2 linked regions of the Diceros bicornis minor genome follow. The protein of the gene in region 1 interacts with the protein of each later gene in a pairwise test. Links are inferred from orthologs where the notes say so. Each region holds a gene or a part of one and is shown on either strand. Other genes may lie near its edges.

The links.
Region 2: the proteins of SH3GL1 (region 1) and MAL2 interact in binary tests that used the Homo sapiens proteins (3 or more experiments, as listed by UniProt). The two-hybrid records come from large-scale screens. The link is inferred for Diceros bicornis minor from reciprocal best matches to the Homo sapiens genes SH3GL1 and MAL2.

Annotation. Positions count from the first base shown.
Region 1 is NW_026691553.1:3,314,669-3,330,020, reverse strand, and holds the start of SH3GL1 (endophilin-A2), read left to right. Parts: upstream 1-9,261; 5' UTR 9,262-9,396; coding exon 9,397-9,441; intron 9,442-15,352. Other genes in the region: CHAF1A (chromatin assembly factor 1 subunit A), read right to left, coding at 954-1,819, 3,374-3,424, 6,655-6,706. UniProt on the Homo sapiens protein: Implicated in endocytosis. May recruit other proteins to membranes with high curvature.
Region 2 is NC_080760.1:35,417,580-35,432,888, reverse strand, and holds the start of MAL2 (protein MAL2), read right to left. Parts: upstream 5,679-15,309; 5' UTR 5,665-5,678; coding exon 5,533-5,664; intron 1-5,532. UniProt on the Homo sapiens protein: Member of the machinery of polarized transport. Required for the indirect transcytotic route at the step of the egress of the transcytosing cargo from perinuclear endosomes in order for it to travel to the apical surface via a raft-dependent pathway.

The sequences.
Region 1 (15,352 bases):
GTGCTACAAAACCAAAAAACCAAAGAACACTGTTCAACACACTTTGGGATTCTTTTTTTTGTGAAGAATATCAGCCCTGAGCTAACATCTGCCAATCCTCCTTTTTTTTGCTGAGGAAGACTGGCCCTGGGCTAACATCCGTGCCCATCTTCCTCCACTTTATATGGGACGCCGCCACAGCATGGCCTGACAAGCGGTGCATCAGTGTGCACCCGGGATCTGAACCCCGGGCAGCCGCAGCGGAGCGCGCACACTTAACCACTACGCCGCCAGGCCAGCCCCCACTTTGGGATTTTTGACTGATTTGTGTCACTTTTACCCCCAAGATCTTAAGGACAGGTGAGAACAGAGACATTTGCCATTGCTGATCGGAAACCAATAACGGAAACAGACATCTCAAAAGTCACCCTTCCAGGGTCCTTAAAAATGGTGCAACGCTTCTCCATTTGCTCCTGTCACTCTGGGTGAGGTTTTAAGAAGGGTGACGGTGCTGACGAGAGCTGACTCTACGGAATCCCCCATTTTCTTCTTCCTGTTGTCCTGGGGTCTCTCTGGCAAGGCTTACTGACTTTTTACCCCCAACACCCCCAGCAGTCTGTGCAGGAACAGGAAGAAGGAAGGAAGGGAGATGAAGCTCGAGTCTGCCACGAGTTAGGTTGCCTGCTTACATCCATTACTCACTCAAATGGCTGAGACTACCAGATGGCATCGACATGCTGGTGATTACCCGAGCCCCTAGCACATCACGATGTACACCCACTCAATACCCCTCATGGTCTTTGATGCGGGAGAGAATTCTGCACCGGAAGTCACAAGACCTCGTTTGTGGCCGCACTCATGCGGCCACCAGCCCTGTGGGCGACACGGTACTCCAGGTGAGGAGTGAGGGGCGGGAACGAAGCGCTCTGAATGCCCTCAGCACCGCCACACCGGCATTCAGGGGAGATACTCACCCTGTGGATCGGTGTGGAGGTGGGGAAGGGACTGGGCTGGCTGCACTTCTTTTTGGGGGCCGACTGCCCCTCAGGTGAGCTGGTAGGAGAGGAAGAGCTCAGGGACGAATGACTAAGGACAGAGTCTTCCTCGGGGCCCGACTCCAGCATCTCGCTCTCCGAGGGCACACCCTGGTCAGGAGGAGTGGTAGGAGGAGACTTGGCTCCAGGAGGCTTCGCGGCCAGGATATCCTGCAGGACCACCACAGGCACCTTCCCTTTGAACAGGATGCCCCCGGCTTCACTCCAGCCATCCTGGTCCTTCTCGGGGCACATTCTGGGACCGCCTGTCAGTTTGGGGCAGCTCTGGGGTGGGCCTTTCCGCACGTCTGCACTCCTCTCTGTGGCCCCGGAGCCAGCATGCTCCTCCTCTGTCTTGCACGGAGTGTCTGAAAGGGTCTCGGGAAATGCCAACTCATCCTCCGGACCGGCCTTGGACAGCCCCCTCTCATCTCCGGCTTCTTCTCTGACCCCATTTACAGCCTCCCCAGAGGGGGAGGCTACAGAATTTAGTTCACCGTGGGCCACAGTGCTGTCTGGTTGGTCGTTTGAGTCCTCCGTCAAATCAATGATGACCGTGCTCTGGCCAATATTGGTTTTGTCTCTACTTCTTAAAAAGTAATCTAAGGGACCCTTCCCATTGACAAGTTTTGGCCTAAAATCTATCTCAGAACCCATATGACAGTCACTCTCCAAGAGGTCCAAAGAGGTTTCTAAATCGGGGACTTGACTTTGCACAGGAGCAGTCTGGGAGCTTCTCGTGTCCTCCAACCCGTCGTCCAATTTCTCCTTTGGGACAAGATTCAGGCGCTTGAATGGGAGACGAGCTGAAAGGGAGAGAAGAGGCCGTCTTTTTAGTGAAAGTGTGAAGAGCCACAATCAAGGCCTTAATATTCCATATGCTTGAACATTATCGACCTTGCTGGGCTGGGGGAGGATTTTAAAGTTTAAAAAGGGGTTATCATTTCATTCTGCACTTTTTCAACATCCTAACTCAAAACAAACAAAAAACTGACAAGCTTTTTTTTTTTTTTTTTTTTTTTTTTTTTTTTTTGTGAGGAGATCAGCCCTGAGCTAACATCCGCCAATCTTCCTCTTTTTTTTTTTTTTTTTTTTTTTTTTTTTTTTTTTTTTTCCGCTGAGGAAGACGGCCCCGGGCTAACATCTGTGCCCATCTTCCTCCACTTTATATGGGACGCCGCCACAGCATGGCTTACCAAGCAGTGCGTCGGTGCGCGCCCGGGATCCGAACCAGCGAACCCCGGGCCGCCGCAGCGGAGCGCGCGCACTTAACCGCTTGCGCCACCGGGCCGGCCCCTGACAAGCTTTTATAGCAGGGATGTTGCCAGAATTTCGAGGTATTTTTTGATCTGTTCAAGATCCAGTTCCAATTCCAAATTCATTTATCATGGGTGGAAATTCCGTTTGAAGATAACTGCATCTGGTTCGGAAGAGCAAGAGAGACAAATCCATTTGCGGAAAGAGCTCTCTCTGCCCCTAGCATCCCAGGCTGTTAGCTTTTCTTGTCAATCAGACAACCATCCTCCCATAGCCTGCCGGGCTTCTGGCTGGTTCTAGGTGATACACAGCCACACCTCAGGAGTGAGGAAAATCAGATGGGGGAACTTCCCAAGGAGCCCACGTTTACTTACATGCCAAAACATCTCATTAACTTTTCATAATGTAATAGACTAAACAAATAAACCTGTTCTGAATCAGCTTATAAAACAGTCATGCCCTTGGTTCTACTGTTTGCCCCAAATCCTTTAACCTCAGAAGACTGCTGTCCTTCACACGTCTCCTGCCAACACCAAACTTGCTATCAGCTGTCATAGGACAAGGCAAACTGCTACAGGGGAACCAGACAATCAAGTTCTAAAAGCCAGAAGCCATAGTTTTTTATACAGTCAGCCACTAATGTGGCCTAAGGGTCAACGCGCTGCCCTTTTCACACAAAAGGATTTGGAGCCACTTATCTTCCTGTACAACAGTGGCTCAACTCAGTGCCTGCCAGGCAACATCTGACAATGTCTACAGACATTACTGGTTGTCACGACTTGGCAGAGGAGGCTAGGCATGCTGCTGAACTCTCTACAGTACACAGGACGAGAAATGACAAAATGTCAACAGTGCTGAAGCAGAGAAACCCCTCTGTATAGGCTGCACCCTCTGGATTTGCTCCTGGGAACGGGAGTTAATAAAATGGGTTTCCCAGCTTCTGACTGTAAGGTGCAACTGTCTTGCTCCCCTCCAGCCCCTGGATGCTTCTGCAGAGGACCCCAACACATGGCCTCTGCTCAAGGGGAATTAAAAATCTAATTGAGAAGACAATGAAGGATATAAATCAGGAACGAATATTGAACCCATTCCCAGAAAGTTACCTTGTATTAACTTCTTGACTGGTAAAGCTGGTCTGTCTTTGCAATCCATGGCTGTGAACGAGAGTCAAAAAGACGAGTTATTAAGTGTTGGAAATAACAAAACAGCAAATACATATGTAGCACCTATTCTGTACAAAGTGGCTGTCCAGCGGGGGCGATTTTGTCAATCCTCCCCCCCACCAGGAACGTTTGGCAATGTCTAGGGACATTTTGTGTTGTTATGTCTGGGAGGAGGGTGCTACTCGCATCCAGTGGGCAGAGGACAGGGAGACTGCTACGTATCCTACGATGCACGGGACAGCCCCCACAACAGAGAATTCTCTGGCTCAGATGGTGACAGGTTGAGAAATTCTGCCCTGGACACTGTCACTTCTTGTATTATTTTCCTTGGCCACTTATTGCTCTGAAACTTATGCTGTTTGTTATGTCTCCCCCCAACAGAACACCAGCTCTGTGACAGCAAGGGGACTGGCTCCACACTGCCCCTGGAGCACCTCACTCAGGATTGGCACATGGTGGAAATCAATGACTACAGCACAGGAGCAGCGAAAAGAGGAAGGAGTAAAACTAGAGATGAGAGAAAGCACCACGTTACCCATTTCACCATTAATATGACCCCAAAACTTCCTCCTCCAATCCAACCTCTCCCGCCACCAAATCTGTAAAATTAGCATAGGGTTTATCTTTTTTTAAAATAGAGTTTATGAAGGTAATACAATTTAAAGCATTTTGAGTTTGCCCAGCCGGAGCTGAAGGGCTGTCAAGAAATGATAAAGGAGAATGTTTTCCTGCACGAAAAAAATCTCAAGAAAAACACCTAATACTATCAAAGCTGAGGCAGAAATGACTGTAAATAGAATCCAGCCTTTGGATAAATATTTTTAAATGGTTAGAATAAGTTTAGAAGCTCACACCTGTTAGGAGATCTGGCTTGGAAAAATCTAGTTGAGTTATTTTGGGCAATCTACATATTTTTCCTTAAAAGATACACACAAGTGAGTATTTTTTAAAAGTAGATCAGGGCTTTCTAAAAAACTCAACTATCCATAGAGGAACTGCCTTTCTCCCTTCCAAGCTTGGAATATAAGACAGGTACCCAGGGGCTGACCCCGAGGTGGAGCGGTTAAGTTCTCGGGTTCCGCTTTGGTGGCCCGGGGTTCCTGGATCCTGGGCGCAGACCTACTCACCGCCCATCAAGGCATGCTAAGGCGGCGTCTCATATAGAAGAGCCACAACTCTACAACTATGATACACAACTATGTACTGAGGCTTTGGGGAGAAAAAAGAGGAAGACTGGCAACAGATGTTAGCACAGGGTCAATCTTCCTCAAAAAAAAAAGAAAGGTACCCAGAAGACACATTTCCTTTCCACCCATTTCAAAACATCATTCTCGAATTTTCAGTTAGCAAAGACATGAATTTTCCCCCCTCAACTGAGAGATACACAGTCTTTAGCCACTTAAATTTATTTTTAGGACGGCCACAAGGATCTTTTTGGTGTGGCGCTGAAACACTAGCTTTGATGCAAGTGGGAGAGAAGTAACCTAGGCCCAGAAACAGCCTCGGGTCGACATAAAAAGGGACTTCACCGAGGGATCCAGACTGTTCAGAAGTACACATACAATTAACAATCACTGGTGTATAAACTTACCACTGCCCTTAATTCTGAGATACCTCCCTCCTAATTTTTCTTTGGCTTTAAAACATTCTTCCCTTTCATGATAGTATGTTCATAGCAAGTGGTGCTTTTTAAATTAAACATTCTGGGCCGGCCCCGTGGCTTGGTGGTTAAGTGTGCGCGCTCCGATGCTCGTGGCCCGGGTTCGGATCCCGGGCGCGCACGGAGGCACCACTTCTCCGTCCATCCTGAGGCCGCGTCCCACATACAGCAACTAGAGGGATGTGCAGCTATGACATACAACTATCTACTGGGGCTTTGGGGGGAAAAAATAAATAAATAAAATCTTTAAAAAAAAAAAAAAAACATTCTGGGGCCAGCCCCATGGCTTAGCGGTTAAGTGCCCACGCTCCACTGCTGGCGGCCCTGGGTTCGGATCCCGGGCGCGCACCGATGCACCGCTTGGCCATGCTGAGGCCGCGTCCCATACAGCAACTAGAGGGATGTGCAACTATGACATCCAACTATCTACTGGGGCTTTGGGGGTAAAAGAAAATAAATAAAATAAAAAAAATAAATTAATTAAACATCCTCACTGGGTCAAATGACTGTCTCTGACAATCAGTCCCGACTTTATTTACGTGAATTTTAAGTCTCTGTGAAATCCCCAAATCTGGAAACAATTAGAGCAGTGGTTCTCAACTAGCGGGTGACTCTGCCTCCCAGGGGCCCCTTGGCAATGCCTGGACCTTTGGGTTGTCACAACTGGGCAAGAGGGGTTGCTAGGGGGATCTAATGGATGGAGGCCAGGTATGCTGCTCCAGGCCACCCTACAGTGCGCAGGACGGCCCCAAATGTCAACAGTGCTGAGGGTGAGAACCCCTGGACTAGACTAATTGATGTCCCTGCCACCCCTTAATTCATTCCACCAACACATCTTTTTCGGCCACCTACTGTGTGCCAAGCATTGTGCCAAGGGCTGGGGACAAAATGGGAGTCAAGCAGGGGAGAGGGGTAGTCGGGCCGTCCTTGGTTCGCCTCCCACGTTGTCGGGGCCTGCTGGCTGCTAGGAAGCCCCCTCCCAAGCCACAGGGAGGAGGACAGGTCACCTTGCATACCGGGAGGATCAAGAACCCGGGAGTCCCGGCTCCCTGACGATCCCCCCACCCAGCCTCTTCCCTCGGCCTGCCCTGACCCGCAGACCCAGCCCTTGGGTCCCCGGGCCCGTGTGAGCCCGGGCCTCAGTTTCCCCACCCGGCCAGAGGGTCGCTGCGGGGCCCAACTTGCTCAGGGGACCCAAACGCACTCGGTTACCTGCCAAGCCGGCCCCTTCGCCTCCTCGGGCCTCAGTTTCCCCTCCCAGCCCCCACCGACCCGTCACCGCACAGGGCCCTGCAAGGACGTACTGCCGCAAAAGCGCCGGAAAGAAATGGTCGCGGCCACAACAATAACGTCAAGGAGCGCGCCCTCCGGGTCGCAAGGCCCTTCCCCGGGATTGCACGGCCCCACGGCCCGAACGCCCGGCGCGGTGGCGCGGGCCCGGGGCCGGGAGGCCCGTCCGCCCTCAACCGCCGCCTCGGCCCGTCCGCCCCCAACCGCCGCCTCGGCCCGCAGAGGCCGCGCGCCGCGCCCCCCCTTCCCCTCACCGCGGGCCCGAACCGACCTGCCGCCGCTGCCCTGGCGCCCGGCGCCCCGCACTCCGGCTCCTCCAGCATCTCTCCGGCGGCGGCTCGAGCTCCCCTCAGGCGGCGGAGGCGCAGGCTCCGCTCAGGCGGCCGCTGCTGCTCGCCCTCCCGCCCGCACCGCTGCTGCCGCGGCCGCCGCGCTCGTATTTGGCGGGAACCGCGGCGACCCCCGCAGCCCGCGCGCCGATTGGGCGAGGCCGCATCACGTGACGGCCCGCCTCGGGAACTGGGGAGCTCCGGGAGCATCCTCGCGAGAGCCGAGGCTTCCATTCCTCCCGTGGCTCCCCTATTGATATTCCCGCGGAGGGACGGGGCTTCCTCTTGGCTGCCTGTCATTGGCGAAGAGGAGGCGCCCTGCGATTGGGGGAGGGAGGTGTCAAGCTGAGAGCTCGGCACTGTGATTGGCTGAGCGCGTGGGATAGGTCGGTAGGAAGAGGGCGGGTCAGGCTCTTACGTCATGACGAGACGTTTTACGTAGGGCGACGGGTGACAACCTGAAGCTGCGATTTAGAGGAAGCCTGAAGTTTTGAGTTTATCCTAATTGGACGTCGGCTGAATACACCAACAGCAATTAAAATTGTAAATTGCTTTTATATGACAATACAAATAAACTCTAGGCATCGCTTCAGAAGTATTTGACATGCGGTAAATATATTCAGGGGGAATGAATGAAATGAATGTTTCCGATTTAATCCTCAGGATTTTTATACACTGTTTCCTTGCCTGGAAAACTCTTTCCGAAGCTCTTTTCTTTGGCTAATTTCTACCTAACTTTCAGATCTTAAAGTTAGACCTCGGAGAAACCTTTCCTCCATTACCCCCAACAAAATGAAGTTCCTACAACGCTGCTCTTTTTCTCGAAGAAATTACAGCTTATGTTTATTTATTACCGTGTTATTTGATTCATGCCGTAATTTCTGTTTTTGTCATTAGCTCCATGAGGGCAGGAGTCATTCATCACTGTATCCCTGAGACCTGTCAGTGACTGATACATTAGTAGGTGACAATAAATATTTGAGTGATTGCATAAATATCATTTGATTGGACTTTGTGATCATATAGGTTAAAAGGCTCACACAGAACAGAGACCTTCAGAGTAGGTTTTCTCCAGCAGCAATTTAATCCAGCAGAGCAGAAGTGAGAAGACCGAAATTTAGCCCAAGTTTAGAATTCTATTGATTGTATAGATCAGATAGTTAAATCAGTAGAATTGGTTGGAAGTAATGTGAAGAAATAGGGAATGTGGGCAAGACTTTGTGCAAGTCACGTCTTACTCAAGGCCTCAGTTTCCCCGTACGAACCATGAGGTGTTTTCCCTCCCTTCTCTGACATTCTGGCGTTCTGCAATGGTTTAGACCAGTGACCATCAGAATCACATGGAGAGTTTTTTCAAACTATTTGTAATGGCCCCATCAGGATCTTTGAGAGGGAGGCTAGGGCATGCATATGCCGAAACAATCCTCTGATCTAGTCCAGGACCTTCTGTTGAGGCATTTGGAAACTTCCAGCAAACTTCCGCTTCAGACAATCACCCAAATGTCAGAGATTTCAGCACTGAAGTTGCAAGCCCCTTAGCTCTAGTCACTTTCTTGTTCCTCTTTTTGGGTTCACATACTCATTCCAATTCATTGTTAATTTCCAATTCATTCAATACAATAACAATTGATTAAAAAATCAAGATCGGTAAGCATGCATCAATCTGGGAAGTCTTCCTAGAGGGGGTGATATTCCAAGCAGAGTCCTATTTTATGTGCAAAGGATGGAGCGAAAGATTGGGGAAGACTGTGCAAGAGAAGAACAACGTTAGCAAAGGCCCATAGGCTCAGGGATCACGGATTATGGAAGATGAAGAGAGCCAAAGTCAGAAGGGTTGACAAGGCCAAGTTATGCAAAGTTTGTAGGCTGTGTTAGGAAGTTGGGAGTGTATTCTGAGGGCAGTAGGTGGACTTTAAAAACAGGAGACTAATGTGATCTGAATTGTTATAGAAGCATCCTTCTGGCTGCCTTGTAGGGGGTGAATCGGAGGGGAGAATCTAAAGGTGGGCACACCAGAGAGGAGGCTGGTGGAATGGTCTGCTTAGGGCAGGGAGGGCAATGGAGGCAGTGGAAAGGAGGTAGAAGCGACGCCCTGATGTCTGACTTGGGAAACTGAATGGATGAACACGGGGCGGGGTTGCCGGTAGGTGGGAGGGACTAAAGAAAAAAGTAGCATAGAGGAATTGGGTACAGCTGAGATTAGCAGACAGGTGTCTGGAGACTTGTAAGCACAGCCTCCCAACCTCTCCAGAAAGGTTTAAGCGCCTTTCCTAACACGTTGGGGCCACCTCCGGGACTCCAGAGGTCGATGCAGCCGCCACAGCCCCTCTAGGCTCGCCCGGTCCACTCGCTGGCGGGGGCGGCCCCCCTCCCCGCTCCCGACGGCAGGCGAAGTGCGCGTGCGCTCTCCGGCCGGCAGGGGGCGCGCGTGCGCAGACGGGGCCGGGGCGCGCGCGGGCCGGCACCGGAAGTGTGCAGTTGCCATGTAATATCCTGGCCGCGCGGGCGCGCGAGAGGCTGAGGCGGCGCCGGGGCGGGCGCGGAGCTGGCGAGAGGGCGGAGGAGGCGGCGCTGACCGTGGCCGCGGAGGCGCGCGGGGGGTTGGCGGCGCCCGGAAGCCTGTCGCTTGAGCGGTCCCTCCGCTTCGCGGGGTCCGGGCGGGAGGCCCGACGGCGGGAGGCAGCATGTCGGTGGCGGGGCTGAAGAAGCAGTTCTACAAGGCGAGCCAGGTGAGCGGAGGCCGAGGCGGGGGCCCCGGGCGGCCCGGAGTGGGGGGCCAGGCCCGGCCCTGGCTCGGGAGGCGGCCGAGGGGGCTGCGTTGGCACGTGTCCCCCGCGGGGTGGGGAGAGCCCAGGAGGGGCAGGGGCTGCGGGCGAGGTGGCTCGGGCCCTGGCCGCCCTGTGTGCTCCAGCCTCCTCGGGAGGGGTGGGCAGACCCCTGGGAGGAGCAGAGATGCACCCAGGGGGTGACCCAGGGCGGTGATCCCTCTCCTCCTTTCCTCCCCTCTAACAGGGCAGGGGTAGGGAGGGAGAGAAGGGGAAGAACAGTCCCGAGGCTGTCGACACAGAACTCTTGCCAGAGAGCGCAGAGGAAGGGAACATTTGTGTCTAAAGCAGTTCTTTAAAACAAAAGGCAAAAAATACCCTTTCGATGGACCCGGTGCAAAGTTGAAAGGTTAGAGTGAAAAGTCAGTTTCCCACTCCAGTTCCTCTCCCCACGATCAGGACTGTCACCCGCGACTTAGGTCTCTTTTTAAGGATACGTGTACACCTCTCCTTTAAAAACACACATATAGTGGTAGCAGAGTCGACACCGTCCTGTGGACTTTGTGTTTTTCGTTAAATGTGTCTTGGAGATCACAGTAGAGCTGGAATTCTCCACCTGGGGTCATTCTCTGTGGGGGGACGTCCTGGGCACTGTGGGGGGTTGAGCAGCATCTCTGGCCCCCACCCGCTCGATGCTGGGAGCACCCTTAGCCGTGACACCCACAAATGTCTCAGTGGCTGCCAGATTTCCCTGGGGGAACCCCCTCCCTCCCCCCGCCCCCTCCCCCGGAACTACTGGACTAAAGCATGCTCCTAGAGCTTCTGGGATCTTTTTAATGAGTACGTGGTATTACATTTCACCAAGTGTATCATAATTTATTTACCTAGTTGGTTTATCGATGGATGTGTATCATAATGTATTTAACCGGTCCATCAATGGATGTTTAAGTTGTTTCCAGCAGTTTTCTGCTACAAACAACACTGCAGTGAATATCTTTGCTCACAGGTGGGATTGGATTTATAAGAGAAATTCCCAGAAGTGGAATGCTGAATCCAAGAATATCTGCATTTTATGTGTGACAGAGAGTATAGGTGTTTTGGAAGATTCGGGCCCAGTGGCTCATGAATCTGGCGAACGCTATGGCTCCACTCTCCAGAAAACCAGGCAGATGCAAAATTCGGTTTATAATTTCAGATCCCAGAAGCCCCAGATTCCTTGAACCCTGTTGGTCCCTGCATCCCAGGTTAAGAACTGTAGGTGTGGAGTTTGTGTGGATACACTCCACGGAGGAACGAGCGATGATTTTCGGAGTTCTTTGGGCCGTGTTGACAAGCCAAACTCTACCCACAATTTGGAGCGATCCAGTGGGAGGGAAGAGAAGTAAGTCCCCAGCAACACACAGCTGATGCCCTTCGGCCCTTAAGGGAAAAAGTAACGACCCTCTTGGTTGTCTAGGGCTAAAGATATTTGGGTCTATATCTAGACCCCAGATGGTGGCTAAACCCTGAAGGAAGAGGGACGTAATCCAGAGGCATTTAGGATTGTTGCTGAGGGTACAGCCCTTTGCCCCAGCAGGATGGAATTCAGTGATCTGGCCCTGGGTTAGCCTCTGCCCAGCAGGCTTCAGACCCCCACGTGGTTGGCTGGAGTGCCTTGGTGCTGCTCACTGTCTTGGCCCCTGTGTAGTCCGGCCTGCACAGGAACAATGTCCCCGTAGGTCTTGGAAGAATTCCTGGACCACTTGTACCATCCTGTAGACGGGTTTCCGGAAGCTCTCCCCTCCCCACCCCAGCTATCAGGCCCCATGCTGGTGGCCCACACCGTCCCCAGCAGGCACACCCAGCTAAAGGAACCAGCCGGGCCTCTCAGGCCAGCTGCCAGAGTGTTCTCTCTCGGGGAACCAGGATGGCCCGCATTCAGATCTGTGAAAAGCGCCTTGAAACCTGGAAAGCACAGCGCAGTGTAAGCTGGTGGTTCAGATCAATTTCTTATCTCCACATTCTGAGGCCCAGCCCCAGAGAATTGCTCTGATGGCCACATCCTTCTCTGAGAGCGGTTGTCTCGGCCTCCCCATCAACTCTTGTGTTGAGTAGTTCTCTCAAGACTCACCCTGGCTGTGTTCCTTTCTCTTCTGCAACAGTTTCCACGGGCATCCAGCAGCTCCTTTGTTTATCTGGACGTGTCCATCTCTGTGTGCGTTTCTTTTCTCGTTCTTAGGAACACCTCTTACATCCTCTTCTGCGCCCTCGGAATAGAGTCGTCTGTTCAAGAGTAACATATCTCGTTATGTACTAATAATTAGTATGTGTTGAGTTTCCACCATGTGAACAGGCAATGTGCTTTAAACCAGTTGGTCTCAACTGGTCTCTCCTCTGGCCTGAGCGTCAATGCACTCCCCTTTTCCCACAAAAGGACTTGGGGACTTTTATTGTCCTGTAGAACAGCAGTTCTCAACCAGGGCCAGTTCTGCCCTCCAGGTGACAGTGGCAGTATCTGGAGACATTTTGCTTGTCACAACTTGGTGGATTGCTACTGGTATCTAGTGGGTGGCAGCCAGGGGCACTGCTCAGCATCCTTCAGTGCACAGGGCAGCCCCCCCAGAACCACAAATTACCTGGCCCGCAGTGCTAGTAGTTCCGAGGTTGAGAAACTCTGCTTTAAGGTTTGAGAAAAGTGAGGCTAATTACACCAAAACAAAACAACAAGAAAAAATCTCTCCTGGGCCATTCTTGTGGTAGCTGCCTGCTTCTCCTAGTTTTCAAAACACACATACCCAGGTGTACACAGATGGATGCATACGTAAAATGCAGCATACGGACCCCAAGCCCCCCCTCTAAGCCCTTAGGAGAACCTCAGAGTGTCCTGGCCCCTGGTATTTTTAAGAAGGTGTAATCTTGAGCCAGTGCCTCTCCACCAGGGCTTACTAACCTTTCCCTCTGTCCTCTCCACCCCCTGCACCCCCGCCCCCGGGACATTTGGCAATGTCTGAGACGGTTTTTGGTTGTCATAACCTGGGGAGAGGATGCTACTGGCATCGAGTGGGTGGAGGCCAGGGGTGGTTGCTAAACATCCTACAATGCACAGGACAGCCCTCCCCACAACAAAGAATTTCCTGGTCCCAAATGTCAGCAGTGCTGAGGTTGAGAAACCCCGCTTTGAAACAGGTTCTTGATTTCAGAGGCTTGTGACAATGTCCTTTCTAAATTGAGAAATGGAAGCCAGGTGGAGGTGCGTGCGAGAGGCAGCCCGGAATAGAGACATCTCTTTCTAGCAGATGAGCCTGCGACCTTAACAAAACGGTTCTCATCTCACAGGTGATGCTGGGAACCAACCAGTTACCAGTGTCTGCCATGTACTGGCAAATTCTACCCCGGTTCGTCTCTGGTCGACTAACTTTCTTGTTTTAAATCAGTTTGGGCTTGAGTGGGAAGGGTGTGAGTTTTTACTTCTTATTATGAACTGGCCACTGACTGGCTGAGGGCCTGGGCTGAGGAAAGTTGACGAATCTGGAGGAAAACAGTGAAAGAAATAGGCGCCTGTCTGGGGCCCGTGGTTTGGTCCCCTCCATCCTGCCTGTGTGACGCCCACACCCTCCATAGCCGTCTGGTATTTATGCACGTCTAGAGTTGGGGGGATGCTTTTATGAGTATTTCTGGGGAACCAAGGAGGGTAAAAGGAACCCTGCTGGTAAGACCCAGGCTCAGAAGTTCACTTCCCGTTGTGGTGTGTGTTCGGGTGACGTTAATTTCCAGACCTAAACTGCTGGCTGGTTTCCTGATAATTCTCGTGTGTGGAGATTGGAGAGTGTAACTAGGGACGGAGCTGGCAGCGGCCTGGAATGCTGGCCTGACCTTTTTTTCTTTTTTTTTCGCCTGAAAGGAGGGAGAGAGTTTGAACTGAAAGATTGGTTCTGTCTGAGCTAGGAGGAAAATTCACGCCCGCCATATCCCATAGCGTTGAAGTTTGCTGGATGCTCGGAGGCCCTGGGTGTGTGCTGGGGAGGCAAGATCGAACTTCCTGTGAGAGGCGGGGGGTGGGTGGGTGCGGGCTGAGGGACCCAGAACCCCGACCTGTTAGAGTAAGCAGTCACTGGGGGCGGTGGCTGGCGTTTTGGAACGTCCCCAGATTCTGCTTGCTCTGACCTATTTTTTAAACCTCGTTTTGTGGAATCATGCTTTTCATTTCCTAGCAAAGTGCTTGTTAAGTAATAACAAAGTAATAACTTAACAAAGTGCTGTTAAGTAATAAACGTGGAACGATCCTAAGAAACAAAAATCTGGAACTAGTAACCCCTTCGCCTCAGCATGAATATGAGTGTGGGACCCATGTGCTGGGAAGGACAGGTGACAGGCAAGGTGTGGAGAGAGGGGTGTGCCAGCCCCAGGCCCTTGAGCTCGGCAGCTGGGGGCTGACCCCCGGAAGACCATCTACTTGGGGCAGCCGACGTGGGAAGGGCCATTGTGATGTCCACGTGTGATGGGAACTGGGTTAAGTCCCCCTCATATAGGAAGCCACTTTGCTGACTCGTTCTATAAGAAGACCCTTGAACTAGTAACATCCTTGCAGGCCCCTGGGCAGAGGTGTTCCCATCCTGCTCCATCAGTGGACGGGCTGGATCGCTCTCCTGACTTGCCATCACTAGCTTGTCTGACTTGCCATCACTAGCTTGTCGGGTGGAGTGACCAGTCCGGTGTGTTAGGCTGGACTGTGGAGCTACAAGAAGTAGTTTGAGACTGCCCTTCTCCAAAGGACCCGGGGCCTCCTTAACCCCGGCACTCCCAGGCCTGTCTGCAAACCGGGTCAGCCTGACCGCCTGGGCAGGACGCGCTGTGCATAATCACCGAGGCTCTCCGTCACCAGCAGCATCCTGCATCTTCTTGTTGTTGACACACCAGGACTGAGGGGCCACCGTACTCTGACTCTGCTGCCCCGTGACTATGGTACATTAGGCCGCAAGTTCACCTCTGACTCACAGTCCTGTGTTTATTAAAGACCAGTCGAGCGCCGTGTGAGCTAATCGCCTTGTTGATCTGGGTGTGTTTTAAGGCAAAGCTGTAGGATACTTAATTATATTCCATGTGCCACTTAATAACAGCCTGTGTGGTTAGGCGTTTCACAGTATCTCCCTGTTCAGTTGCAGAAATTGGGGCGTGTCACGCTTTTGAGGCCCAGAACTGTCAAAGACTTAGCAAGCGAACAGAGAAAATCGTGCTATTACCCACCCGCCTGTCCACCCAGCCTTCCCTTCGGGAAACCCACATCTGAGCGCACAGGACACTGGGGGCCTGCGCTGGTTTGCCCTTCAGCTGTCGGTGTGTGCGTCTGTTCACTTTCTTCCTCAGAGGAAGAACTTCAGGTCCTGGCCAGACCCGCTGAGGCCTGCCATTTGCCTCTGGCACGTGTGTCCCACTGCCTTTGATCCAGGGACATGGGCTAGTTAGTTCTGCCCTGGCCCCTATCTCAGCCCTTCTCCTTCTCTTCAGTTGTTACCAGTATTTTGAAAGTGATCCAGTCTGGGGAATCGTCGTTTTTTAATTTGGGGCGTGCAGCCAGCTTCCTCTGTAGGATTTCAGAGGCCCCTGCATTTCGGGGGCTGCAGTAGGAGGAACGGCAAATTGTCTTCTCTTTCTGATTTCCAGGGCGGGCGAGGTTTCTGAGCCTTCTGGAGGGTTCCATGTGGAAGCTGCCAAGCCACAGGCGTTTATCGCCCCGGGGGGTTAGGAACACCTATTGAGGCGGCTTCACCCCTGTGCTCAAACCCCATGGCTTTTTAATGCGCCTGGTGGAGTGTTAGGGTCGGCTTTTCCTGTTCTTTTTCAAAGCTGTCCCTGGAGAGCTGGGTGGAAGATTGTGTGAGGCTGGGGCAGCAGCTGG
Region 2 (15,309 bases), on another chromosome or scaffold:
TGCCTTTGGAACTCAAGGTCAAGGTGTATAGGAACTTGATTTAAAGTTTTCCAAATTTCAGTTTTCATATTTCTTACAGGGCTGCCAGTCAGGGCAAATGATTGCTGAAAATCATTGGCAGGGGCATCAGTTTATTTTCTCTTAAGAAGTTTTAAAGTCTTTTCACATGGATGGAGGTTTTTAACCCAGGGGCAAAGGAAAAATCTCACAGAATTAAAACCCTTTTAGAGAGGGAAACATAGCCATGGGTAACCCCTCTTCAGCACTGCAAACACACAACTTCCCTTTGCAACCAAAATCTGTTTTCTGGGCAAGAAAATAAAACTCTATACATCTGAACATTTATGCATTAGTCTGTCTAAAATCAAAACTTTGGGTTGAAAATAACCTGAAATCCCTTCCATAAATGTATCTGCATGACTGCACATGCCTGCTTCACAGCCCCTCCCTCCCCATCCTCCTCTCATCAACATTGGTTTTTCTGGCATAATTCCTCTGAGTTACATCTTCTATTTAAGTTTGGTCTAGTATCATTTCAGGACACGTCAAATGTCACATCTGTTCTTCCTCTCTGCTTCTTTCCTTTGTCCTAGTTCAGGTTCTCATCACTGACGGATGATGAGATATCCAAACTACTGCCATAAGCCCCTTAACTGGTCTCCCTGCTTCCAATCTCTCTGGTTTATAACCAAATTTCACTGCTCAAAGATTTCTAAAACACAAGTCTGATCAAGTTTACCCCTGTCCTTCAGCAGCTCCCTACCACAGACAGAATAAATTCTATGCCTTGGCCTATCATTTCTCAGCAAATCATAACTTGAAACTTACCTGCTGTTTCTCCTTCTTCTGCCACCTTCCCACAACTCATGTAAAAAAAAAGAAAAAAAGAAAAAGAAAAAACCTAACAACTGCCAGAATCTCCTTCATGCCATGCTCTTTCTCGTCTCTGAAGTTTGCACATGCCCTTGTTTCTGCCTGGAATTCTCTTTCCCATTTTTTCTGTCTGTTGAATGTCTACTCATCATCTAAGGCTAAACTCATCTGTCACCATCCCATTAAAGCTGCCTGTTCTAGCCTCCTCAGTGGTCAAATGTACCCTACCCTGGTTTTCAATAGTACTTTTCATAAACCAATTTTACCACTTCAAACACAGCATTGTAATTCTTCTTAACTTTATACTTCACTGTACAGGAATTTCTTTTAAGGGCAGGAGTTATGTTGTTTTTTTTTTTTTTTTGTGAGGACGATCGGCCCTGAGCTAACATCCATGCTAATCCTCCTCTTTTTTTTTTTTTTTTGCTGAGGAAGACCAGCTCTGCGCTAACATCTGTTGCCAATCCTCCTCCTTTTTTTTTCCCCAAAGCCCCAGTAGATAGTTGTATGTCATAGTTGCACACCCTTCTAGTTGCTGTATGTGGGACACGGCCTCAGCACGGCCGGAGAAGCGGTGTGTCGGTATGCGCCCAGGGTTCTGAACCCGGGCCGCCAGTAGCAGAGGGCACGCACTTAACCGCTAAGCCACGGGGCAGGCCCAAGGGCAGGAGTTATGTTAATTATCTTATTCCCAGGGCATAAAATAAGACCTGATGCATAGCGGGTTCTTAATTATTTGTTGAATAAATGAAAATTATTGTGGCACCCAAAACACCAAAGTTAGAAGCATGAGAATAAGAGTCCTAGATATCCCCCATAAAGGGATATGTGGATGAATATCTTGGGCAATGTAGACAGTTTCCTAAACACTGAAACTGTGAAACACACTGAATTCAATAATGACCTTTATTCTTTTCCATGTTTAATACTATTACGTCCAATCTTTCTTATGCATTACACAAGATAAGCTCATTGAGAACAGGGACCCGAAATATCTTGTTCAGACCAATAGTACAAGCGCTCCAATGTTATTTTCTTATAGAAAATGGAAAATGCTTTAGCTGTGGTTCACTTTCCATACCATGTCGTTCTTGCCTGAATGGTAGTTATTTTTGTGCATATCCTCTCAACTAGGTTATAAGCTCTTTCAGGTAAGGAAGGATCTAAACGTCTTTGTTCACAGAAGAGTGCCTTGTACACAGTAGGTATTCAATAAACACCTGATGAATGACGTAGAAAGCATTAATTCAGGAAATGTTGTGAGATTTTGAAAATGATAACTTTTGAAGGTGATGTCTTCCATACTAAACTAAAAGGCTTCACTTTGCAAAACTAACTTAGTATTAAACTCTTCATGGCAAGCATGCATTGGTTAAGTCCAGCTGAATCCAAAAACCGAGGCGCTGATGACTTAGGTATCTAGGAGTGGAACACAGCTATCTCAGGAAACCGCACCACACTGGCTGCAATATTCTCCACCCATGAAGCCAGTGCTATAAATTGTTTTACCTGGTGCTGTTAGGCTGGCACTATTTGTACATTTTGAATTATCTCCCAGACAAATGGCTTACACCTGAGAGATTGAGAATGGGGTATAACAAGGGGGACTGGGAGCAAATTCTTTGAGCAAACCTACTGGTTAGTGTGAGACCTGAACTCCAAGATCATGGTCTCATTAGCTTAGTCAACTATTGATGGCTCATCTTTGTCAGATGCAGTTTTCATGTGTTAAGTTCTAGACTGCAACAGGACATAAATAGAGAAATCATGAAGACAAATGGATCTGGATAAGAGGTCAAAATTAAGGAGGAGTTTGGGGATATCCAGAAACAATGGCAAAGGCTAAAATAATCAGTGCCCAGAAAGCAGATCACCCAGAGTTTAGAACTGCTCCTGGAGAATTCGCACATTTAATTTGCAGGGGAGACACTTCCGAAGAGGAGCCATGGAGATGTACACTTTAAAGGAATGAGAAAATTACAGGGAAATTAAGAAAGCTGGGAGAAAAGGTACATCAAAAGTGTTTACTTAGCTCCTATCTGTGTGTCTGCTCAGTATAGGCATTCTAGATAGTGGGGTACCAAAGTGGTCTTGACCTCTGCTCTCTTAAAGCATATAATCCAATATCTCTAAGTGATCTGGAAGGATGGGAGCCAAGAAGGAGCTATAGTTTAGCTCCAAAGTGGTCTCTTGTTTCTCTAAGGTCACTAGTTTCATTGGAATATTTTGATCCTTTTATTTTTGGGGAGTGGGTTGGGGAGGAGGGAGATTGATACTCAAGTAAAAGAGGCAATGGAGGACTAAGATTTACACCTATCAAGATGTTTGGCCATAAAAAGTGAAAAGTAGACTGTAATGTCTTTTGGAAGTCATGCTGTTCTATCTAGACATGGTTCCTAGACATGTTTCAGGGGTAAGAAGCCAGAGGAAATGAAGAGATAAGAGGAAAAGACTGGATTCTTCCATGAGTCTGGAATTACTCCTAGAATGGGGAGTGGTAGAAATTCTAGCAGAGAGAGAGAATCCACATTTGCAAGAGAAGAGCTGTCTTGTCCACAGAGCCGTGATAAAGGCCTCCCTTGGTAGTTCTCAGCCATGACTGTATATTAGAACCTCCAGGGAGCTTTTAAAAAAACCTAGCCGACTCTGGGTACTCCCCCAGAGATTCTAATTTAATTAGTCTGAGCTGGCAACAGTATTTTTAAAAGCTGCCCAAGTAATTAAGTACAGCAAGAGTTGAGAACTAACAACTGGGCTAAAGAGCTTTGGGGGTGGGGGAGAAGAAACAGAATAAATCACCTTCTACTTTTATTCCTCAAAATTAGGCAGTCTTTCCTAAGGTGTCACATGACTGCAGGTGGGTCTTGAGATGGTATATGCTTTGATGGCACATGGATAAACCTTCTTTACATATATATACCTATATGGTTCGATATAGACATATACGTTATCTTTACATATATACATATGTATATATATATATATATAAATACATTTGAATATCAGAAAAAATATAACCAGCATATCAAATTTGAGAATTCATATATATTATTGCTTAGGATGAGGCAACGGTACGTTCCTGAAGTGTAGAAAGTGAATATATTAAAATGAACATTCTGTAAATTCTAGTACAGGTGGAATGGGGATATGGCAAAAACTTCTAAAAGAAGTATGCAAACAAATGGAGTTTGGTGAACACGGAAGTAACGTAGCCCAGCATCTATAAAATCTTTCTTCCCCGCTCTTACTGTTCCAAACGTGTTTCCCTCCCACAGCAGTGCAGCGGGCCCAAGGCCATCCTCTCCCCGCTCTTCCCACGTGGATGCCGGTGCCTCATCCCAAGCATTCAGATGCTTCTGAACTGGGCTCAGACTCAAACCAGCCTCCTCTAGCCTTGCAGTCACGATCCGATTACTGATGCCATAGCCTGTAACTCACTTGTCTCCTTTTTCAGATTCAAATCTGAGCTCAACTTAACTTAGGGTGCCTGAGCTACCCTTAGCATAGTAGAACAGAAAACCAATGTTCACAGGCGTTCCAGTTCCACAAGCACAAAAGTGAAACCGAAGCGACTCAAATCCAGGTTATGCAAACTCAAAGGAGGGGGTGAGGGGCAAGATATGAACACCCCAAACCGAGCAAACAAAACCAGCCTGCAGGAAAGGCACTGACTCGCTAACATTTCACCCTGTATTTGCCATTCTCAGAGCATGATGCAACCTCAGGTTGCCCAATTTATATTTGCACATTTTTCCCCTTGTCCACAACTAGCTTCAAAAGCTTCCAACTCCATAAAATTCCTCTTAAAAAGCTGAAGTCTCTAGCCCAAGAAGGTTGCACGACAGACCAGGTGACCTTATCTTCACCTCGGCCCAACAAAGTGTGCCAGAAGGTTGGAGTTCCAGAAGCAGCCCAGGAAAGAAGGCAGGCAGGCAGGCAGGCAGCGGGGAACTTGACAGCCACGTTTGTACCTTTCTCCCCCCATTCTCACGCCCACTTGAATAGAAACTGCCAAGGGCACGGTACATACTTCACCTTTTCCCCTGCCTTGTCTCCTGAGCCCTACTCCTCTTCCCAATCCGAAGGGCACTAATAATGGCATGGGGAAAAAAAATGCCAAAGTCTTCAGCCTTCCTCCTCCTCTTCCTGGTACCTCCCGCCCCCGCTCTTCCTATGGTGGCAGCCTCCCGGTCACCCAGTCATCGGCTACACCTTTGCACCGCCCAACAAAATGGCAGGTTAGCAACAGGCGAGGCCGCGAGCGCCTGCTCCGGCTCTAGCCAAGCGCGGCCCCGGGCCGAGCCGCCGGGCGTCTCTGACGGCGCTCCCAAGCCCGAACACCCTTCTCCTCTCAAAGTCCCCAATCCTCGGCCCCACCGGACCGCCTGCTCGCTCTCTTGTGGCCATTTCTGTCGCCAGTGGGGAAGCAGGTGCCAGTGTAACAAGTGCCAGGCGAGAGGGCCCGGGCAGCTGCGCCGCCGCCCAGGTTCGGGCTGCGCTGGGCATCGAAAGGACCCCGGGAGGGGAGCAGGTGAAGGCCACGTCGAAGGGAAGGGAGCCGGGGGCGTGCGCAGAGGGAGACAGCCCGGGGGACAAGGATGCCGCCGCTGCCACTCCTCGCTCCCCAGCCGCGACCCTCGCCGAGGCCGCCCCACTTACAATCTCCAGGCAGACGAAGGCGCCCGAGGAGGTCCGCAGGATGCCGGGGCCGGAGGGCAGGGTGACCCGGGGCGCCGGGAAGGACACGGCGGGGTTCGGGGGCGGCGGGACTGCCGCTCCGCCGGCCGACATGCTGCCGCTGCCGCTGCCGCTGCCGCTGCTGCGTCTCCGCGCGCCACCACCTCCGGCCGCCCGCCTCCGCCTCCCGGGCTCCCGCCGCCGCCGCCGGCGCTCGGGTCCGTGGGGTCCCGGCGCGCCGCGCGGGAGGGGGCGTGGCCGCGCTGCCCGGGGCCTCGCGGGGCCCCGCCCCGTCACGTGGCCCAGGTGAGCGCGCCTCCGCCCTGGCGCCCGCGCCGGTCACGTGCACAGGTGCGGCTGCCACCTGGCGCGGTGCGTCCTGCTCGGCTTTCCTTGCCCCTCTTCGGGCCAGCGCCCAGCGCTCCCCGAGCCTCTCAACGCCGGACCCCGCTGTCTTGCTTTTTATTTGCTCCTTTTGTCCCACCTCTTAGTTTCCACCTGTTCTCTTCCACCTGTCCTTCCCCCAACCCTCACAGCTCCCCTACTCAACTTTACTCAATTTAACTGGAAGACAGGTCTGCGAGCTGTGACTCAGAAGATAAAATCCAGGTCACCAGTCACACCTGGTGTGGAGTGGATCTGCTTTAAATGGGACTCTAGTGGGATTTTTAAAACACCACTAGGACAGCATCGCGCATTGGCGATGGATGCCTGGCAGGTAACTGGCTGCTTTGTGCGCCCGTGGTGTGCTCATCTGTGAAATGGGCATGAGCATGGATTATACCTACCTCGAATGCATGCCCGAATTACATGATATAAGGTGCAAAGAATTTAGCACATAGTAACCGCTCCTCGAATGGTAGCTAATATGATGATTGCTGTTTTTCTAATTTGTTCACATGCACATACCACACTCCTGTGTACACATGATGTTGCATAAGTTATATTTTCCACATAAAACTTTTATTGATTTCACCTGTCTGAAACTTAGTTGTCTTTGCTGTTGTCTTTTAATCACTTAAAAGGATTAAGGGAAAAAAGGGGGGATTCTATGTATAGTTTGCATTCTCTGCCCCAATTTATCCCCATTTTATCTTTGGTTTTAATGTCAACATTTTATAAGTGAAATAAAGGAGATGAGATTAATTTTCTCAAAGATCAGCTGAAGATAAACTACACACACCAGCATACACATGTAGACCAGGTTGGAAACAGTATTAGCTAACAATATCAGACATTCTCCAAATTGAATACTTACCTTGTCTGTCAGGTTTAGCCTTTGAGGACTGTATTTAGCTCTATGCACTGGTCAGCAGATTTTAGTCATTTTACGTCTTTATCATTTTAACAAGCGAAACTCATAGGTGTGGTGGCAGCATCAGGGTAGAAACCACAAAATTGGGTGTGGGTGAAACCTTTTGTATATACCGCCTATCTTCTCCACCTCTTAGTCATCACTTTCTGATATTTAATGTGTGGTATTTACTTAAAAGAAATTTAAGGTTTTCTGCACTGATTTATTTCATCAAGGAACCCTCTCTGTGTTCAGAATCCTATTGGTATAGAGTGATCTTTCTGTCTGTTTTATTTTATGCCTAACATTTCTCAGTGAGCACGTAAAGAACTTTCAAAGGGAAGATTTCTTCAAAAAATTCGTCATGGAGATGCTCAGCAACTATGATGGGCCCCCAAAATTTCAGTGAACAAAGTTAAAATGACTTTGGAGTTTCCAGAAGTGCTAATGACTCACAAGAGCCTCAGTTGTGCTTGTTTAAAAAATTGCCACCACGGGGAAAACTTTTCACTGTGTGCCTTCCAGCACCCTCCTCATTATGCCGTATATCCCTGACCATCCCTGACCATCCTTGCTTTCCCTCTTCTACCTGGTTGCACAATGACCAGTGGGATGAAAAAGATTGTTGTTGAGGCCTCTTCTATTATTGTAATGTATCATTTGCTTGAAAATGAATTCCTCCCTAGAATCGTTTTCCTCACTACCCAAACCTTTTATTTTTCTTGATAATACCAGTTTGCTTCTAATGAAGGTAACACTTCTGGAACCAAAGGAAGAAAAGCATTCATCCCCACCCCCGCCCCACCACTCTGTCTCTTCCTTCACACAACTGACTGTGAGCTCTTAACAGTTTCACTTCTCTGCTCTTTCCTCATCCTGTTTCCATGGTTTACTGACTTCCACCATGACTTTTACCTTGCACACAGACTTCCTTGGGATCCCATTTTTTGGAATGTCATTGTTCATATTCATGATACTGTCAACAATCTTGCCTCACAACCACTTGCTACCTTCAATGAGGTGAAATCACATCTGGATCTACCTTATTACTTGGAATTTTGCTACTGCCATTCCCTGGAATGCTAACATTCTCTATGATGTCTATCTCCTATTCATGTAACTCTCCATCATTCTCCTCTTACTTTACGAGGAGTTTTAGGATATCTAACCAGTAATACTTGTTTCATTGAAAACAGGACCATCAATCCAGTTATACAAGACAAACATCTGGGTGTTTCCCTTTGTAGCTCTTCTCCTGCCACATATTTAGTTAGTTGTTTTGATGGCAGTTCTACGATCGTATTCTCTAGGATATATCCACTTCTCTCCATTCCCACTCTGTCACGGGATACTATTCCTTCTCACAACAAATACTCTAACAGTCTCGTTTCCCTCCCTGTATTCTCTACACTGCTATCAGAATTATTTCTAAACACAAAATTGATCACATCCACTCCTCTACTTAATTCAAAACTCCCTGGAATGCATTCAAGGAATTTCTGGGGTGCAGCTTGTAATGAGCTCTCTGACTTCACCAGTCCTGTTAATCCACCTACAGTTCCAATAACTCCTCTGCCTCCGGACCTTTACACATTCTCCTCCCTCTAATGGAACACCCTTTCTTCTTACCACTCCTCTATGTCATATATATTTCCTGGATAATTCCTTTGGATCATAAGGGCAATTCTTTATGGCAGCATTTCTGGCCATAGGGCTCCCTCCCAGCCAGTGTGTTTCTATAACCTGATATGCTTACTTCACTAAATTGAAATTATATTTTCATTTGTCTCATATCCTTAGCTAGTGTTGTATAACAGGATATTAAATTGAGAAGTTCAGTGGAGGCACCAAGACATGAGAGATATCAGATACCAATGTGAGCTGTGAATTAGACCACTAGAAGTTTTAAAGTAGGCTTGAGAACCCATTTGATAATCTATAAACCCTTCACTTCTATCAAGAATATGGAAAGCTCAGGAATGAGAATTTGGAAAGAGGGTGATGTTGGGGGAGAGCTATGCTGGGAATCACACTTCACTCTCCTCCTCCTTCATGCCCTCTCCCACACTGAAGGAAGTAGCTGAGATTTATTCACATGATATAATAGGAGTTCAAGTAATATCAGCTGACCAAATGAACTCTGTATCTAAATTTCTCTGCTTCATCACCATTACTCTCCTCCTTTCTTCCTGTTTCATAAGAAGTGTTTCTTTCCCTATCCAAAGTTGAGCCATCTCAGCTTTTCATTATTTCCCCTTTGTAATTCCTTTATGAAATTGATCCATTAATTTTCCCTTCTCTCTCTTCAATTTTTAATTTCCACTTTACACTCAATCTTTCCCTCTCTATGAACATATACAAGTTTCCCCTGTCATCAAAAACAGCAACACTTGACTTCTGCCCAAACTAGAATAACCAGGACTGGATTTACCTGCCTGTCTGAAACAACTAAATCCCAAACTATATGAAACACTGGTTTTCAGACATTAAACATCAGGCAATGCAGGATAGTGATCTTCTAGAGATGGGAAAGAAATGGCACGAGCCCTATGATTTTCTCAGTTTGGAGAGAGTTTCCAGAGTACAAGAGAGGGAGACCGCAGTGGAGGGTAGCAGTCTCCATGAACTGAGGTGGCGAACCTGGGAATTTGAAGGGAACCAAAGGAGCTAGAGTTCACAGAGTACTAGAATGGAAAGAGCTGCATATAGAGAAAGCTTTGAAAGTGAGCAGAGGGTCCCCCTTAAATATTCAGATGAGTGCTTATCAGCACACAAAGGTAGGTGACTTATCTGAGGCCAGGGAAGAAACATTCCAAAGGAGCAGAGAAACAATCCCAGGAATTCATACAGGGACAGGAATAGTTCATGTTTGCACCATCTAGAGTGGAAAATCTCCTACTTAATGGAGCACTGGATAGAGTACTCAAAAAAGTATTGTCTCAGTTCTGAGGCAAAGTCAACTTTAGACAAATGGCTACTCTGGTCCTACCTTACACAGCTTTTTAAAAAAACCTCAGAATACTTAAACCATTTCCAGTTAACTGAACTGAATCAGAGAACATGCTCAAGAATATTAAGGAGTACAAAAATGTCCAGCACCCAATAAGATAAGGTTCACAATATCTAGCATTAAATTAAAAATTACCAGGTATGTAAAGAAGCAGGAAATATGAAACATAACAAGGATAATAATCAACCACTATAAACAGACCAAGAAATGATATAGATGATTGTGTTAGTAGAAAGAACATTGACAGTTATTATAAATGCATTCCATATTTCAAAAAATAGAGTAAGATTGCGCATGTCATGTAAAAAAGACCAAAATTAAATTTCTAGATATGGAAACTACAATGTCTGAGATGAAAAATACTCTGCAGAGAATTAACAACAGATTAGATCCTGCAGAAGAAAAGATTAGTTAACATGAAGACATAGAAATAGAAACTAAAATTAAAGGCACAGAAGAAAAAGACTGAAGAAAATTAATAGCATAGTGAGCAGTGGGATAACCTCAAGTGTTTTAATATGTTCATAAATAGAGTCTCAGAAGGAAGAGAGAGAGAGAGAAAACGTTTGTGAAGAAATAATGGCTGAAAGATTCCCAAATTTTATCTAAATTATACTCGCAGAGATGATAAATTTAATAAACTCCAGGAATTGGAAACGTGAAGAAACCCACGCCAACGCACATCATCATCAAATTTCTTAAAAGCAGTGATAAGGAGAAAATCTCCAAAATAATCAGCAAAAAGACACATGACACACAGAGAAACAAAGATAAGAGTGGTAACAGACTTCTCATGGAAACAGTATAAGCAAGAAGAGCATAGAACAACATCTTTAAGCTACTAAAAGACAAAAGGAAAAAAAACAACCACTGTTAACCTAAAATTCTATATGCAGTAAAAATGCCTTTCAAAAATCAAGGTAAAATATAGACTTTTAAAAATTTTTTATTTATTTTTTAAGACAATTTTTTTAGAGCCGTTTTAGGTTTACAACAAAATTGAGACAGGAGTAGATATTTCCCATGTACCCTCTCCCCCAACACATGCATAGCCTCCCCCATTTTCAACATCACTCACCAGAATGGCACATTTTATACCAACCTACATTGGCACATCATAGTCACCCAGAGTCTATAGTTTACATTACAGTTCACTCTTGGTGTTCTACATTCTATGGGTTTGGACAAATGTATAATGACATATATCCATCATTTTAATATCATACAAAGTATTTTCACTGCCCTAAAAATCCTCAATGCTCTGCCTAGTCATCTCTTCTCCATACCTCCACCACTGAAAACCATTGATCTTTTCATTGTCTCGATAGTTTTGCCTTTTCCAGAATATCAGATAGTTATTACATATAGTAACATACCTGTAGCCTCTTAGATTGGCTCCTTTCTCTTAGTAATATACATTCAATGTTCCCCCATGTATTTTTATGGCTTGATATCTCATTTCTTTCTAGCACTAAATAATGCTCCATTGTCTGGATGTACCATAGATTATTTATCCATTCACCTACTGAAGGACATGTTGGTTGCTTCCAAGTTTTGGCAATTGTGAATAAAACTGCCATAAACATTTGTTTGCAGGTTTTTGTGTGGACTTAAGTTTTTAGCTCCTTTGGGTAAATATCAAGGAGCATGATCGCTGGGTCCTATGGTAAGTGTATGTTTAGTTTTGTAAGAAACCACCAAACTGTCTTCCCAAGTGGCTGTACCATTTTGCATTCCCACCAGCAATGAATGAGAATTCCTGTGGTTCCACGTCCTCACCAGCATTTGGTGTTGTCAGTGTTCAGGATTTTGGCCATTCTAATGGATGTGTAGTGGTATCTCATTATTGTTGTTTTAATTTGCATTTGCCTGATGACATATGATGTGTAGGATCTTTTCATGTGCTTATTTACAATTTGTATATTTTCTTTGATGAGATGTCTCTTAAGGTCTTTGGCCTATTTTTTAATTGGATTGCTTGTTTTCTTACTGTTTATTTTTAAGAATTCTTTGTATGTTTTGGATAACTGTGCTTGATCAGTGTGTGTTTTAGAAATATTTTCTCACAGTCTATGGCTTGTGTTCTAATTCTCTTGATTTTGTCTTTCACAGAGCAGAAGTTTTTAATTTCAGTGAAGTTCAGGTTGTTAATTATTTCTTTCATGGATCATGTCTTTGGTGTTGTAAATATAGACTTTTTCAGATACAGAAAAAGCTGAAAAAAATTGATAGTAGAAGGAAATACACAATAGGAAATGGGAAAGGAAGTCTTTCAGGCAGAAGAAATTGATGCCAGTTGGAAATCTGCGTCAACATGAAGAATGAAAATGGCCAGAAAGGAGAAATATGTGGATAAATACAAAATTTACTTTTAAAATGTTTTAAATTATAATAGTTGTTTAAAGCAAAAATTGTAAAAGTGTATTTTAGTGTTTATATTATATGTAAAAATAAAAGATATGACAATCATAACACAAAGGTCATGAGATGGAAATGTCAAATATAATATTCTGAAGTCCTTATACTCCACTTGGAGTGGTATAATATGTGAAAAAAATGTATGTACTATACACCCTAAAAAAATCACAATAAACAAGACAGAAGGAGTTATAGCTAGAAAGCCAACAAAAGAGCTATAAAAGAATCATAAAAGATACACAATTAATTCAAAAGAAGTCATGCAAAGAAGAAAAAAGAAACAAAGGACACGTGGAACAAATAGAAAACAGAGAGATGGTAGAATTAAATCCAATTTTAGCAATAATCACATTATATATAAATTGCCTAAAATTCTCATTGAAAAGGCGAGGATTATCAGATTTGATAAAGAGCAAGACCTAGCTATACACTGTCTACACAGAGCTTTCTTTCAATGTAAAGACAAATATGTTAAAAGTAGGAGGATGTAAATAGGTATAACATGATAAAAGTAATCAAGAGAAAGCCTGAGGGGCTATTTTAATATCACACAAAATAGGTTTCAATGGCAAAAAGAGTTATCAGGGGTAAAGAGAGTTATTTCATAATGATAAAAGGGTCAATTTATCAAAAGGACTTAAAATTCCTAAATGTTTATGCACTTTATAACAGAATTTTAAAAATAAGTCATGTAAAATTAATAGAATGTAAGGAGAAATAGAGAAATCCACAATTAGAATCAGAGATCTCATCACCACCCTCTCAATAATTGATAAAAGAATGACAAAGAAAGTCAGCGACAATATGGAAGACATGAGTAATACTATCAAATTCCTTGTCTTCAATCTGGTTCCCCAGAGGCAGCCCCTGAGATATGGATTCCTGTGCAATGGATTCAGTAAAGAAGTGCTTTTGGAGGAGACTGGAAGAGGAGTGAGTAAAGCAGCACAGGGAGGAGGGGAACCCAGGCAAGGGTGGGAGCTCAGGCAGAGGTCAGCCTGATCCTGCAGAACAAGTGGAGTGTAAGTTATGTCTCACTGTTGCATGATTAAGGCAAGAATTTCATACACCTTACCTTCACTGGGAAAGGCTGAGGGAAGGAAAGAGGATGCATAAACTCCATACTTTTCCAGCAGTCTATATACGCAGGCAATGCACTTCCGGTAGCTAACGATCATCTTCCAAAAATGGCCCACGGGTGCTGATGATTGAACCCACACCATAGCGGGGAGAAGGGCACACAGAAATGGTATAAAGGGATTTGAGGGGACCTGGGAGAGCGCTGACGTCATCTGCTTCACTTCCCGATCTAGACCCTGATTTCTAACTCCGATTCCTATCTGGAACTCCAAACGTCTGCTTCCAATTGTCTGTTGGATGGACTTGTATTTTAAGCTCATAATGTCCTACAAGAAACTTTTTCTTTCTCTATAAACTTCACCTTTCCCTTTGGTTTCCTCCTTCTGTTCTTGGAAGCACCATTTTCCCAGTTATCCAAGCTTTAACTTTACCTTTAAAAACTTTTCTTCTATTGTGCTTCCACTATCCAGTCAGTTTCTAAATCCTTGCAATCCCACATCTTTGATAGTTTGTAATCTGCCCCATTCATTCATTTCCAATACTTAGAACAATGCCTATTACCTCTCCTTTGAATTATACTAATAGTTTCTAATATCTGATTTTTTGTGTGTCTAGTCCTTCTACTCTGTAGTAAATTTTAAATAATTCTGTCAGTTTGACTTGCTCATAGGACAGCCTAGACATGTCATTTTCCTCCCTAATAGCTTTGATGGCTGCCCAACACATCCTAAGTAAATGGCAAACCGCTCATAACTCTGTACATTCCGACCTCTGTGCCTTTGTTCATGCCTCTGATTGTCTGGACTCCCTTGAATAATCCCTCCTCCAACCTTTGAATATCCGAATTTGATCTATGTTTCAAGATCCTGCCTGAAAGCCACCTCTATCATGACGCCTTCAGTTCTTCTCCTTTTGACCTTTCTGTCTTTCTAACACTTTTCATGTTCTATCTTACGTAGTGGTCATTCATTAGTGCATATGTATATATGTGTGTGTGTGTATATATATATGTATATACACACACACATAGACAACCCATATCTCAGAGTCTGCCTCTGGGGATCCAGATTGAAGACAGGGAGTTTGATAGTATTGCTCAAGTCTTCTATATTGTCACTGACTTTCTTTCTCCTTCTTTTATCAATTATTGAGAGAGGGGTGATGAGATCTCCGATCATGTTTATGATTTTTCCTTTGTATACTCTATTGTCACCTACCCTCTCCATCATTTAGGCACAGTGCTTTACATAGATCAATTCATTCTTTCATTCAGCAAATTTGCTTTGTATCTACTATGTATACTATGTATACAAACTACTATGTGTACTATGTATACGAGCCTGTGTTAGGCACTAGAGATACAGTGGCACATACAATAGACAAAGAACAAGTTTTTTTCAAGCTTATAGTTCAGTGGGGGAAGCAGACATCACTGAAATAAGTATTCATTTTAAATCATAAAGTTATAAAGGGCAAGAATATTTTTTCATGGTTCTAAGTTGCAAGCCACAGAAACTGAACCTGGCTGATTTAAACAGAAATATAATTTACTGAAAAGACATGTGGTAGTTCATAGATTTGGCAGGGAGGTTGGGAAACCAAGCTCAGAAAGTGGATGGGAATAAGGGAAGATGCATAGTCAAAGCCATGCCCAAAATTAAGCTACAGAATTAGTTCAGTGATGGCACTACTTCCAACTCCACTAATCAATGGAATCCACGACTTGCACTCCTTACATTGCCAGAACTGGATCAAAGATTCTGCCATCAGCATCAATGCTATTGCTGCCTCTACAATTCCCTCAAAACTGGATGTCAGCACAGCCACTGTCATCACCTTGGGAATAAATCCTTCTCTTTGGAACCTGGAAGCAGGTGCAACTAATTTGCTAAACCTAGCCCATGCATTGGCACTCTAGCTGAAAGGAAAGCTGGGAACATGAGTATCTACTTTTAGC